3 linked regions of the Saccharomyces cerevisiae S288C genome follow. The gene in region 3 interacts genetically with the main gene of each other region. Each region holds a gene or a part of one and is shown on either strand. Other genes may lie near its edges. The genes, in order: BNI4, RIM101 and IXR1.

Region 1 (3,761 bases), on a different chromosome or scaffold from region 3:
CGCAGTTGTTAACCAACAGCGACATGTCTAGCGGGAATGTCCACCATACGAAACCGATGATGTACAACGTAACCCTGCCTTCCTACAACAGCAGTAGTATAGGTCCAGTCGATAATTTGAAAATAAACGAGAGACCTGGCTCTCATGATCATTCCATGAGAAGTGAAATGTCATCCAAAAACTCCGGAAGCGATTTTATGCCACAATCTATTTCACGTTCCGAAGGTAGTGTCTACCAGGTCAAGATAGATCGTGGTGACTCCCCGAATACAGAAGGATTCGACTTTAAAGTTAATGCAAGAGATCTGCTGTTACTTCGAATGTCCTGGGATATCCTCCTCAGGGAGTATTTAACACCTAAAGAATTAAAAGTTTTTCAAGCACTTCTGTATTCCAATAAACATATTACTTCAACAGAAAGACCCTATTTGAATACTGCTCCTGACGGTATGATTTCCAAAACTATTGACCCTACTGCCAGGCCACGTAAAACAAAACAAAGGGACAATGATAACAAGGTTGATACTGCACTATTTTGTTCACAGTTTTATGACAATTTGATTGCAATGGATCCCTTGTTAGAAGAATATTTTCCATCATTAAAACATCAAGCAGTTTCGTTCTGTAAGGTCCTTGATTCTGCTATTGACAACCTTGAAAACGTTCATGTCCTAGATGATTATATTGTGAAATTAGGAAAACGCCATTCCAGAATTCTCGGCATCAAAACCGTTGGTTTCGAAGTAATGGGAAAAGCATTTATGACTACATTGCAGGACAGGTTTGGATCTTTTCTCACACTGGAACTCAAAAATCTATGGGGACAACTTTACTCATATTTGGCAAATTGTATGATTACTGCAGGGAAGGACCCAATGGAAAAGATTCAACCAGATTTTTCGTATAATGGTGACTCTGTGGTTTTAAATTTTTCCATTCCCAAACTTGCGATGCATGATATAAGTACAGTTAACAAGCTACAAATGGTGAAAACTAAAAACGCTACTATACCTCATAATATAACACAAGTACCGACAAATAAAATTCCTACAGAAATACTCTTAGACAATTCTTCTACTCCAATAAAAAGCGACCGTGAATCGACGCCTCCAATCTCACCAAAGGGCTCTGGAAGTACAAAACCAAGCATCGGTAGCAGTACCGTCGTGGAAAGTAATACCAAGAAAAATAATTATGATGAAAAAATCCATTTATTGCAAAAAACTGCTCAGCAGAAGAACTGCTCGATTATGTAACTACAACCGTACCATTAAGTGTATAAGTTTCCCAGGTTATATTATATATTCTTTAGATCACTGCCTGTTCTTTATTACCCGCGAGCTAATCTTTGTCTTATATAGGCGCGTCAGCGGAGACGCGTCAAGTCAACTTCTCTCTTCTATCGTCCCGAGTATGAAAAATCATTTCAGATTCGAAGAAATCAGATTGGCTTTATATCTTCTTTAGAACAAGACGTGTAATATTCTCACACTTAGAGTTGACCCCCTCAAGTTCGCTTATTAGTACAGGTTTTGACTTTGCAAATAAACAACAGGAAAAGCGACTCAAATAAATTGACAAAGAAATCTCAACAACCAGAGTGCAAAAGCCGTACGAGCAGCGTTTTTATTAATAACGATATATCACTACGTATTCAACAGAATATGTCGGATAGTATTTCAGATTCAAAGTCCTCAGAACTTTTAAATTCTACTTTTTATTCGTCGACGTCGATAAATACACTTGATCATGCTAGAACCTTTCGAAATTCTCTGATATTGAAGGAGATATCAGATCAAAGTCTAAATTCATCAATAAAGCCATGCGAATCCGTCCTTGATAGGGATGTTGAAAGCTCAGTTCTGCAGCGGTCGTTTGGAGAAAGTAATGCCCGAGACTCAGAAGTACAAACGGTAAATATGACAACTTCCCCCTCATTAAGTGCATTGGCTGATATTCTGAACGAAAGATCCAAATATGCTGACCAAAAAACTAGAAAGGCACAAAATATTGAGTCTTCCATAATAGAAGAAGAAGAAGAGGCCGAAGAGCAAAACAACTCGATCAATTATCACGAGGATATAACTGGATCCAGGCTGTCTGTACGAGAGGAAGCAAATGAAAACTTGGCGATGACCTCTCCAAACCTTATTGACATTGACGGATCCAATAGTATTCAAGTTGCCCCTTTGAGTTTACCGTCTTTCGAAGAACCTGACTTTTTGTCCACTCCTAGAGTAAAACCTGATTCTCAGGGACCTCGGAGCAAAGTTAGTACACGACGTACTATTCTCGAACGAGACAACAATTTACCAGTTAAGCGGGAGGAAAATACTATCATTAATTCAGAAACTGAAAGCACAACACATAGCGCACCATTTTTAAAAGAGGATCCGAAACCCTCGCCTCCTTCGAGTAAATTATACAACCCAAAAGTTCGTTTAAACAAAGCAGAAGCGCGAAAGTATACTGATTCTTCTGCCCAAAGGACTACTTCAGCAGGCTCGGTACTTGAAGACACTTCTATGCATAAAAAGAAAAAGAGTATATTTTCATTTCTGAAGAAGAAAGAACCGAAACCAGTTATTGGTAATAATAGTGTAACGAATGAAAAAAATAAGATGTCTTCATCGAGCACTTTCTCAATGAATATTCAAACCTCTTTAAAAACGCCTGAAAAACTAAAGAAGAAGTCTCACAGTAGCAGTAGCATTTTCAATTCCTTCCTAAAGGGAAAAATTGAAACATCAGACTCACCTCGAAAGGAACCAATGAGGCAAAAAAAAAGAACCCCAAAATCCAAGGACAAAAAGCAAGATACTGAACAAATAATTGACGCCGCATCAGTGTTATCCACTGAATCACCTCTACTACGAAAAAACCACGACGATACTCCCGTGAAAATAGATCACGTAACGAGATCAATTGATCAGAGAAAACCTACTCCTTTAAACATGGATCTCATATTGGGAGGTGATAAACAGATAAATACCCCGCTACAAGAACACGTAAGAGAAGATGATGATGCCAAAAATGATCTTCAATTACCAACCAAGGATAATTTTTTATCACTGGACTACGAAGCACCCTCACCAGCATTTTCCAAACACGATACAGGTGAGGTTCTTTTCCCAAAATTTTTGGATAATCATGAAGTCGACTCGATCGTTTCTTTAGAAAGAACAAGATCTACAAAGTCTAACAAGAGAAGTTCAATGAACTCGCAAAGAAGGTCATTGACAGATACGCTATCGATCAAAGCGCAAAGTGAGGGAATGTTCATCACTGAGGCATCTTCTGTTGTATTATCTACTCCAGACTTGACGAAGTCTCCTGCTAGCAGCATTTTAAAGAATGGAAGGTTCGAATACTCAGATAATTTCTCCAGAGAACACTCTTACGAAGGTACCACGAATGAGGACTTTTTAGATATCAAGGACGATAGTGGTCCACTAAAAAAAGATGACATATTTTTAGAGTCTATTGAACAAAAATTTGACCAGCTAGTGATGGCCTCTGATGAAGAAAAAACTGAAGTTGAAAGGGATGTACCAAAACCAAGAGAAGAACCTCTGAAGAAGGATTCTGAAAGGCAAAGCGTTTTTGCAGATGATGATAACGAGTTAATTTCTGATATAATGGAGTTTGCAAGTTTTATTAACTTCGGTGATGATGATCTCAATCTAGACCTAGACTTGGGAGATACAACGGCCTCATATGCAACAGAAACCCCTGAACCTGTTGGAAATGATGAAGTAAAT
Region 2 (3,761 bases), on a different chromosome or scaffold from region 3:
CGAGTATTGTGGACACAACCACAATCTCGCCGACTCTGACGTCAACGAGTACGACCCCATTGACAACCGCCTCAACCAGTACAACACCATCAACTGATATAACATCGGCACTGCCCACGACTACAAGCACAAAGTTGTCAACATCCATTCCCACAAGCACGACATCGTCAACCTCTACCACCACAAGTACCTCATCGTCGACTTCTACGACCGTAAGTGTCACATCATCAACATCTACCACCACAAGTACTACGTCGTCAACCCTCATTTCCACGAGCACATCATCATCATCATCATCAACTCCAACCACAACATCGTCAGCCCCCATTTCTACAAGCACGACGTCGTCAACTTCCACTTCAACAAGTACAACATCGCCAACTTCTTCTTCAGCACCTACAAGCTCGTCTAATACAACACCAACGAGCACAACGTTCACTACGACATCACCCAGTACAGCCCCTTCAAGCACTACGGTTACTTACACCAGTACCACAGCATCTCCAATAACGTCCACTATAACTTCTGTAAACCTGCAGACCTCCTTAAAGTATTCTGTGATAACAGTGACTTCAGTGCACACCATGGACACTAACATTTCGGAAATCACCTCGAGATATCTCACCATGAAAAAAGTAATAACGCAGATTTACTCTTCCACCCTCGGGGCTACTCCTACTTCTGCAGTGGCTACTACGTCTGCCAGCGTAGGTGGTAGAATAACAAACAATAACAATAGTAACACCACCAACAGCAATACACCAACTAACAAGTCTACAGAAAAGAAAGGGTACTGGGATTCGCCCGGGAAAATAGCCGCTACTTTCGTCGTGGTTGGAGTGGTATGTTTGGTAATTATATGCATACTAATATACTTAATACATCATTATAGAACAAGACCCGCTCGGAAGGCTCAAGATTTTGAGAATGAATATCAGAGTAAGTTTTACCAGTCCAAGTACCCAAATGAAGTTACCACTACCACGTTACACACGCCTTCACCATCTTCAAATTCAACTTTCTCGACCCCAAGATTAATATACACTGATGAAAAGGGACAAATTATGTCTGAATCACCATCCCCACGTCAATCTACGTATTCCTTGACTGCAGGCAGTCCACCAAATGACCCAAGCACGTTGGCAAGCCCATTTCACGATCCCATTCTTCCCAGAAGAACTTCTACTTTTCTTCATTCGCCCATTCAAAAGCAACACGAAAAAATGGAATCAAACGTTACTCTAGGTGAAGACACGGTACTGGTGGATCAGAGGCTAGACCCAAGTAAGATGCTTAACACTTTAGCAAATGACGATGCCACAAACCACTCTACCATTTCGTTATCAGACAACGTAGACTACTCCAGGAGGGTTCTGCGGCTAATGAACGAATAAAGACTGCAGCTCTTATACGTAATAAATATTCCACGAACGATAATACATACATAATTTTAATTCTGAACTTTGTTTTTTTCCTTCGAATGTTCTCAAAAGAATGCTTTACGACAATAACGCTGTTATCTTGTACATACTTTTCTCTGCCCAGTGACAGCAGGCACAATAATCTAAATACCGCGTTCGTGCGAGACATTCTCTGTGATTCACAGATTACGGCGCAGAAAATAAAATAGCCGTCCAGCTCGGAGTTTCTAAAATTACGTCCGAGATGACGGAGGCTTATAAAATCATTTCAGACGGGTGAGGGATGCCAATCTACGAGACAAAAGATAAAAAATTAAGACTCAATAATATAGAAAGGAACTAAATGTTTTCATAAGAGTCACCGTCTATAACCTTTTTTTTTTTTATTGGTCTGTTATCACTTCCACTGAGAAAGTAATATTGCTATTGCACAACACTTTTTGAACAAGTGCAAAGATAAAATACTGAAAACGGTAAAGTAGGTTTGTTTAAATTGACTTAAGATGGTGCCATTGGAAGATCTGCTTAATAAAGAAAATGGCACTGCCGCACCTCAACACAGCCGGGAGAGTATAGTAGAAAATGGGACAGACGTTTCTAACGTCACAAAGAAGGACGGGCTGCCCAGTCCTAACCTATCTAAAAGGTCTTCTGATTGTTCGAAGAGGCCTAGAATTAGGTGTACCACGGAAGCTATTGGCTTGAACGGTCAAGAAGATGAACGGATGTCACCAGGCAGCACTTCTTCATCATGCTTACCATATCATAGTACTTCACACTTGAACACTCCTCCATACGATCTATTGGGCGCTTCGGCAGTTTCACCCACCACATCATCTTCCTCTGACTCGTCCTCCTCCTCGCCATTGGCACAAGCGCATAACCCGGCAGGTGATGACGACGATGCGGATAATGACGGTGATTCTGAGGATATAACACTATATTGTAAATGGGACAACTGTGGTATGATTTTCAACCAACCAGAGCTGCTATATAATCATCTGTGTCATGACCATGTTGGCAGGAAGTCACATAAGAACCTACAATTGAATTGTCATTGGGGAGACTGTACCACGAAGACGGAGAAAAGGGACCATATCACCTCGCATTTGAGAGTTCACGTACCATTGAAACCGTTCGGTTGCTCTACGTGCTCCAAAAAGTTTAAACGTCCGCAAGATTTAAAAAAGCATTTGAAAATTCATCTGGAAAGTGGCGGTATTTTGAAAAGAAAGAGGGGACCCAAATGGGGCTCAAAAAGAACTTCTAAGAAAAACAAAAGTTGTGCAAGCGACGCAGTGTCGTCTTGTTCTGCATCTGTGCCTTCCGCTATAGCTGGTAGCTTTAAGTCACATTCTACTTCTCCACAGATATTACCCCCATTGCCCGTGGGTATATCTCAACATCTGCCTTCACAACAGCAGCAGCGGGCTATTTCCTTAAACCAACTATGCTCAGACGAGCTATCTCAGTATAAGCCGGTATATTCTCCACAATTGAGTGCCAGATTGCAAACGATCTTGCCGCCATTATACTACAATAACGGCAGCACGGTAAGCCAAGGTGCCAACAGTCGGAGCATGAATGTCTACGAGGACGGTTGTTCTAATAAGACCATAGCAAACGCCACCCAATTCTTCACCAAACTATCGAGAAATATGACAAATAACTACATTTTGCAACAAAGCGGTGGTAGTACTGAGTCCTCGTCATCATCTGGGCGCATCCCCGTAGCACAAACAAGCTATGTGCAGCCACCTAATGCTCCTTCATACCAATCCGTACAAGGTGGTAGCTCTATTTCGGCCACTGCAAATACAGCAACTTATGTGCCAGTACGGTTGGCCAAGTATCCAACTGGTCCTTCGCTTACTGAACATTTGCCACCTTTACATTCGAACACTGCCGGTGGTGTTTTCAACCGCCAATCACAGTATGCTATGCCACACTATCCATCTGTTCGTGCTGCGCCTAGCTATTCCTCCAGTGGCTGTTCTATATTACCGCCTCTACAATCAAAGATACCAATGTTACCATCGCGCCGTACAATGGCAGGTGGAACTTCATTGAAGCCTAACTGGGAATTTAGCCTGAACCAAAAAAGCTGTACTAATGATATTATCATGAGTAAGCTGGCGATTGAAGAAGTAGATGACGAAAGCGAGATAGAGGATGATTTCGTAGAGATGTTGGGTATAGTGAACATTATCAAGGACTACTTGTTGTGCTGTGTCATGGAAGATTTAGATGATGAAGAAAGTGAGGACAAAGATGAAGAAAACGCATTCTTGCAAGAATCTTTAGAAAAATTGAGTTTACAAAACCAAATGGGAACTAACT
Region 3 (3,761 bases):
TCAACGATGACATTCAGGGCACCGGTGCCGTCGTGATGGCCTCGTTGATTGCTGCTTTGAAACATACCAACAGAGACTTGAAAGACACCAGAGTGCTTATTTACGGTGCCGGGTCTGCGGGCCTCGGTATCGCAGATCAAATTGTGAATCATATGGTCACGCACGGCGTTGACAAGGAAGAAGCGCGCAAGAAAATCTTCTTGATGGACAGACGTGGGTTAATTCTACAATCTTACGAGGCTAACTCCACTCCCGCCCAACACGTATACGCTAAGAGTGATGCGGAATGGGCTGGTATCAACACCCGCTCTTTACATGATGTGGTGGAGAACGTCAAACCAACGTGTTTGGTTGGCTGCTCCACACAAGCAGGCGCATTCACTCAAGATGTCGTAGAAGAAATGCACAAGCACAATCCTAGACCGATCATTTTCCCATTATCCAACCCTACTAGACTACACGAAGCCGTTCCTGCCGATTTAATGAAGTGGACCAACAACAACGCTCTTGTAGCTACCGGATCTCCTTTCCCACCTGTTGATGGTTACCGTATCTCGGAGAACAACAATTGTTACTCTTTCCCAGGTATCGGTTTAGGTGCCGTACTATCGCGTGCCACCACCATCACAGACAAGATGATCTCCGCTGCAGTGGACCAACTAGCCGAATTGTCGCCACTAAGAGAGGGCGACTCGAGACCTGGGTTGCTACCCGGCCTGGACACCATCACCAACACTTCTGCGCGTCTAGCTACCGCTGTGATCTTGCAAGCACTCGAGGAGGGAACCGCCCGTATCGAGCAAGAACAAGTACCGGGAGGAGCTCCCGGCGAAACTGTCAAGGTTCCTCGTGACTTTGACGAATGTTTACAGTGGGTCAAAGCCCAAATGTGGGAGCCTGTGTACAGACCTATGATCAAGGTCCAACATGACCCATCGGTGCACACCAACCAATTGTAGACGAAGCATAACCAACGCCTGCACTTAAAAAAAAAAAACCATATAGAGTAATATATAAATATATATATTTGTACAATTTTTTTCTTTATTTTTAAAAAAAAAATAATACTTGACATACCGTAATAATAATAATAATAATAATAATAATAATAATATAATAATAATACAATAATACAATAATAAAAACAATAACAACAGCAACAATAGCACAAGAACATTAACCCAAGCAACTAGCAATAACAAGAACGGTAATTATCAAAACAAAATATGATACCAAATGCGGAAAAAATCGGCACATATCCATAAAACATACACATCGTGCTTAGCGATCTACATACCGTGGAGGAATGGGTGGAACGGTTACTGACGACGGCCGCGCGGGGTTTTGTGTTGGGTGTGATGTCCGGATGCAACAGCAGCAAAGGAGAGGCGCAGCGGACCTTCCTTACTTTCTTTTTCTTCTTTTCTTTTCCACCTCCCCTTGGTGAGAGAACGAATGGGAACAAAAAAAAAATGCACACATCAGCTGGTGGAGCCAAGTATAGACACGGCCCGGCGCATTCGTTCTCTCTCTCCTTCTGTCTCTCGTTCTCGCTGTAAATGTGGTTTACTTCGTTATCCTCTGTACCGTAATCGTACTGCATTGTATTCTGTTTCCTCTACTGCTAGGTCACTGCCTAACAGCTACTGCTACCGAGACTGTGACGCTGAAGTTTATTCGCTCTGATATCCCACAAAGAACTCTATTACACACAGACAAGGCAAGGCAACGCAAGTCAAGGCAAGACCACAACTATATCCCCTTCTTCTATCCATTCTGTGATATACGTACGACGCTAACAGTACCCACAACTGCAATGAACACCGGTATCTCGCCCAAACAGGACGACGCCTCTAACTCCAACTTACTCAACATAGGCCAAGACCATTCGCTGCAGTATCAGGGTCTCGAACACAACGACTCCCAGTACAGAGATGCTTCTCACCAGACACCTCACCAATACTTGAACCAGTTTCAAGCCCAGCCTCAACAACAACAACAGCAGCAGCAGCAGCAACAACAGCAACAACAACAAGCGCCTTATCAAGGTCACTTCCAGCAGTCGCCTCAACAACAACAGCAAAATGTTTATTATCCACTACCTCCACAATCTTTGACGCAACCTACTTCGCAGTCGCAACAACAACAACAGCAACAACAACAACAACAGTATGCTAATTCGAACTCAAATTCAAACAACAATGTTAATGTTAACGCGCTACCTCAGGATTTCGGTTACATGCAACAAACCGGATCGGGCCAAAACTATCCGACGATCAATCAACAACAATTTTCCGAGTTTTACAACTCCTTTTTAAGTCATTTAACTCAAAAACAGACAAACCCTTCTGTCACGGGTACAGGCGCGTCTAGTAACAACAACAGTAACAACAACAATGTTAGTAGCGGCAATAACAGCACTAGCAGTAATCCTGCCCAGCTGGCAGCCTCCCAATTAAACCCTGCCACGGCTGCTGCGGCCGCCGCAAACAATGCTGCTGGCCCGGCTTCGTACTTGTCTCAGCTCCCACAGGTGCAGAGATACTACCCGAACAACATGAACGCTCTGTCTAGTCTTTTGGACCCTTCCTCTGCAGGAAATGCTGCAGGAAATGCCAACACCGCTACTCATCCTGGTTTGTTACCACCCAATCTGCAACCTCAATTGACTCACCACCAGCAGCAGATGCAGCAACAGCTGCAATTACAACAACAACAGCAGTTGCAGCAACAGCAGCAGCTACAACAGCAACACCAGTTGCAACAACAACAACAACTTCAACAACAACATCATCATCTACAACAGCAACAGCAGCAACAACAGCATCCAGTGGTGAAGAAATTATCTTCCACTCAAAGCAGAATTGAGAGAAGAAAACAACTGAAAAAGCAAGGCCCAAAGAGACCTTCTTCCGCTTATTTCCTGTTTTCTATGTCCATAAGAAATGAGTTGCTTCAACAATTCCCTGAAGCAAAGGTCCCCGAATTGTCTAAATTGGCTTCTGCAAGGTGGAAAGAGTTAACGGATGATCAAAAAAAACCATTCTACGAAGAATTCAGAACCAACTGGGAGAAGTACAGAGTTGTGAGAGATGCTTACGAAAAGACTTTGCCCCCAAAGAGACCCTCTGGTCCCTTTATTCAGTTCACCCAGGAGATTAGACCTACCGTCGTCAAGGAAAATCCTGATAAAGGTTTAATCGAAATTACCAAGATAATCGGTGAAAGATGGCGCGAGTTAGACCCTGCCAAAAAGGCGGAATACACTGAAACTTACAAGAAAAGATTAAAGGAATGGGAAAGTTGTTATCCCGACGAAAATGATCCAAACGGTAACCCAACCGGTCACTCACATAAGGCCATGAACATGAATTTGAATATGGACACTAAAATCATGGAGAACCAAGACAGTATCGAGCACATAACCGCAAATGCCATCGACTCAGTTACCGGAAGCAACAGTAACAGTACCAACCCAAATACGCCCGTTTCTCCTCCGATTTCATTACAGCAGCAGCCGCTCCAACAACAACAACAACAGCAGCAACAACAACAACACATGTTATTGGCTGACCCCACTACAAATGGTTCGATCATAAAAAATGAATAACAAATAAACAACTTTAGTTTTCCACTGTAACATTATCCCACGCAAACAACGAGAATAAGGAATTCCTTTTTCAACATTTGTTTTATATTGTACTACTCTATTTCCTATTACTACAAATTTTACTTTATTTAATAATAATTTTTCTTTCCCT

What was found.
Region 1: mutations in IXR1 (region 3) and BNI4 impair growth when combined (synthetic growth defect), as found in Saccharomyces cerevisiae (4 studies listed by BioGRID, with this or other methods).
Region 2: mutations in IXR1 (region 3) and RIM101 together harm fitness more than expected from each alone (negative genetic interaction), as found in Saccharomyces cerevisiae (3 studies listed by BioGRID).

The regions. Positions count from the first base shown.
Region 1 is NC_001146.8:210,258-214,018, forward strand, and holds the start of BNI4 (Bni4p), read left to right. Parts: upstream 1-1,664; coding exon 1,665-3,761. Other genes in the region: YNL234W (uncharacterized protein), read left to right, coding at 1-1,256.
Region 2 is NC_001140.6:49,187-52,947, forward strand, and holds the start of RIM101 (alkaline-responsive transcriptional regulator RIM101), read left to right. Parts: upstream 1-1,924; coding exon 1,925-3,761. Other genes in the region: WSC4 (Wsc4p), read left to right, coding at 1-1,394. UniProt on the Saccharomyces cerevisiae protein: Transcription factor that mediates regulation of both acid- and alkaline-expressed genes in response to ambient pH.
Region 3 is NC_001143.9:379,914-383,674, reverse strand, and holds IXR1 (DNA-binding transcription repressor IXR1), read left to right. Parts: upstream 1-1,816; coding exon 1,817-3,610; downstream 3,611-3,761. Other genes in the region: MAE1 (malate dehydrogenase (oxaloacetate-decarboxylating)), read left to right, coding at 1-959. UniProt on the Saccharomyces cerevisiae protein: Binds to platinated DNA and confers sensitivity to the anticancer drug cisplatin. Activate the expression of the COX5B gene.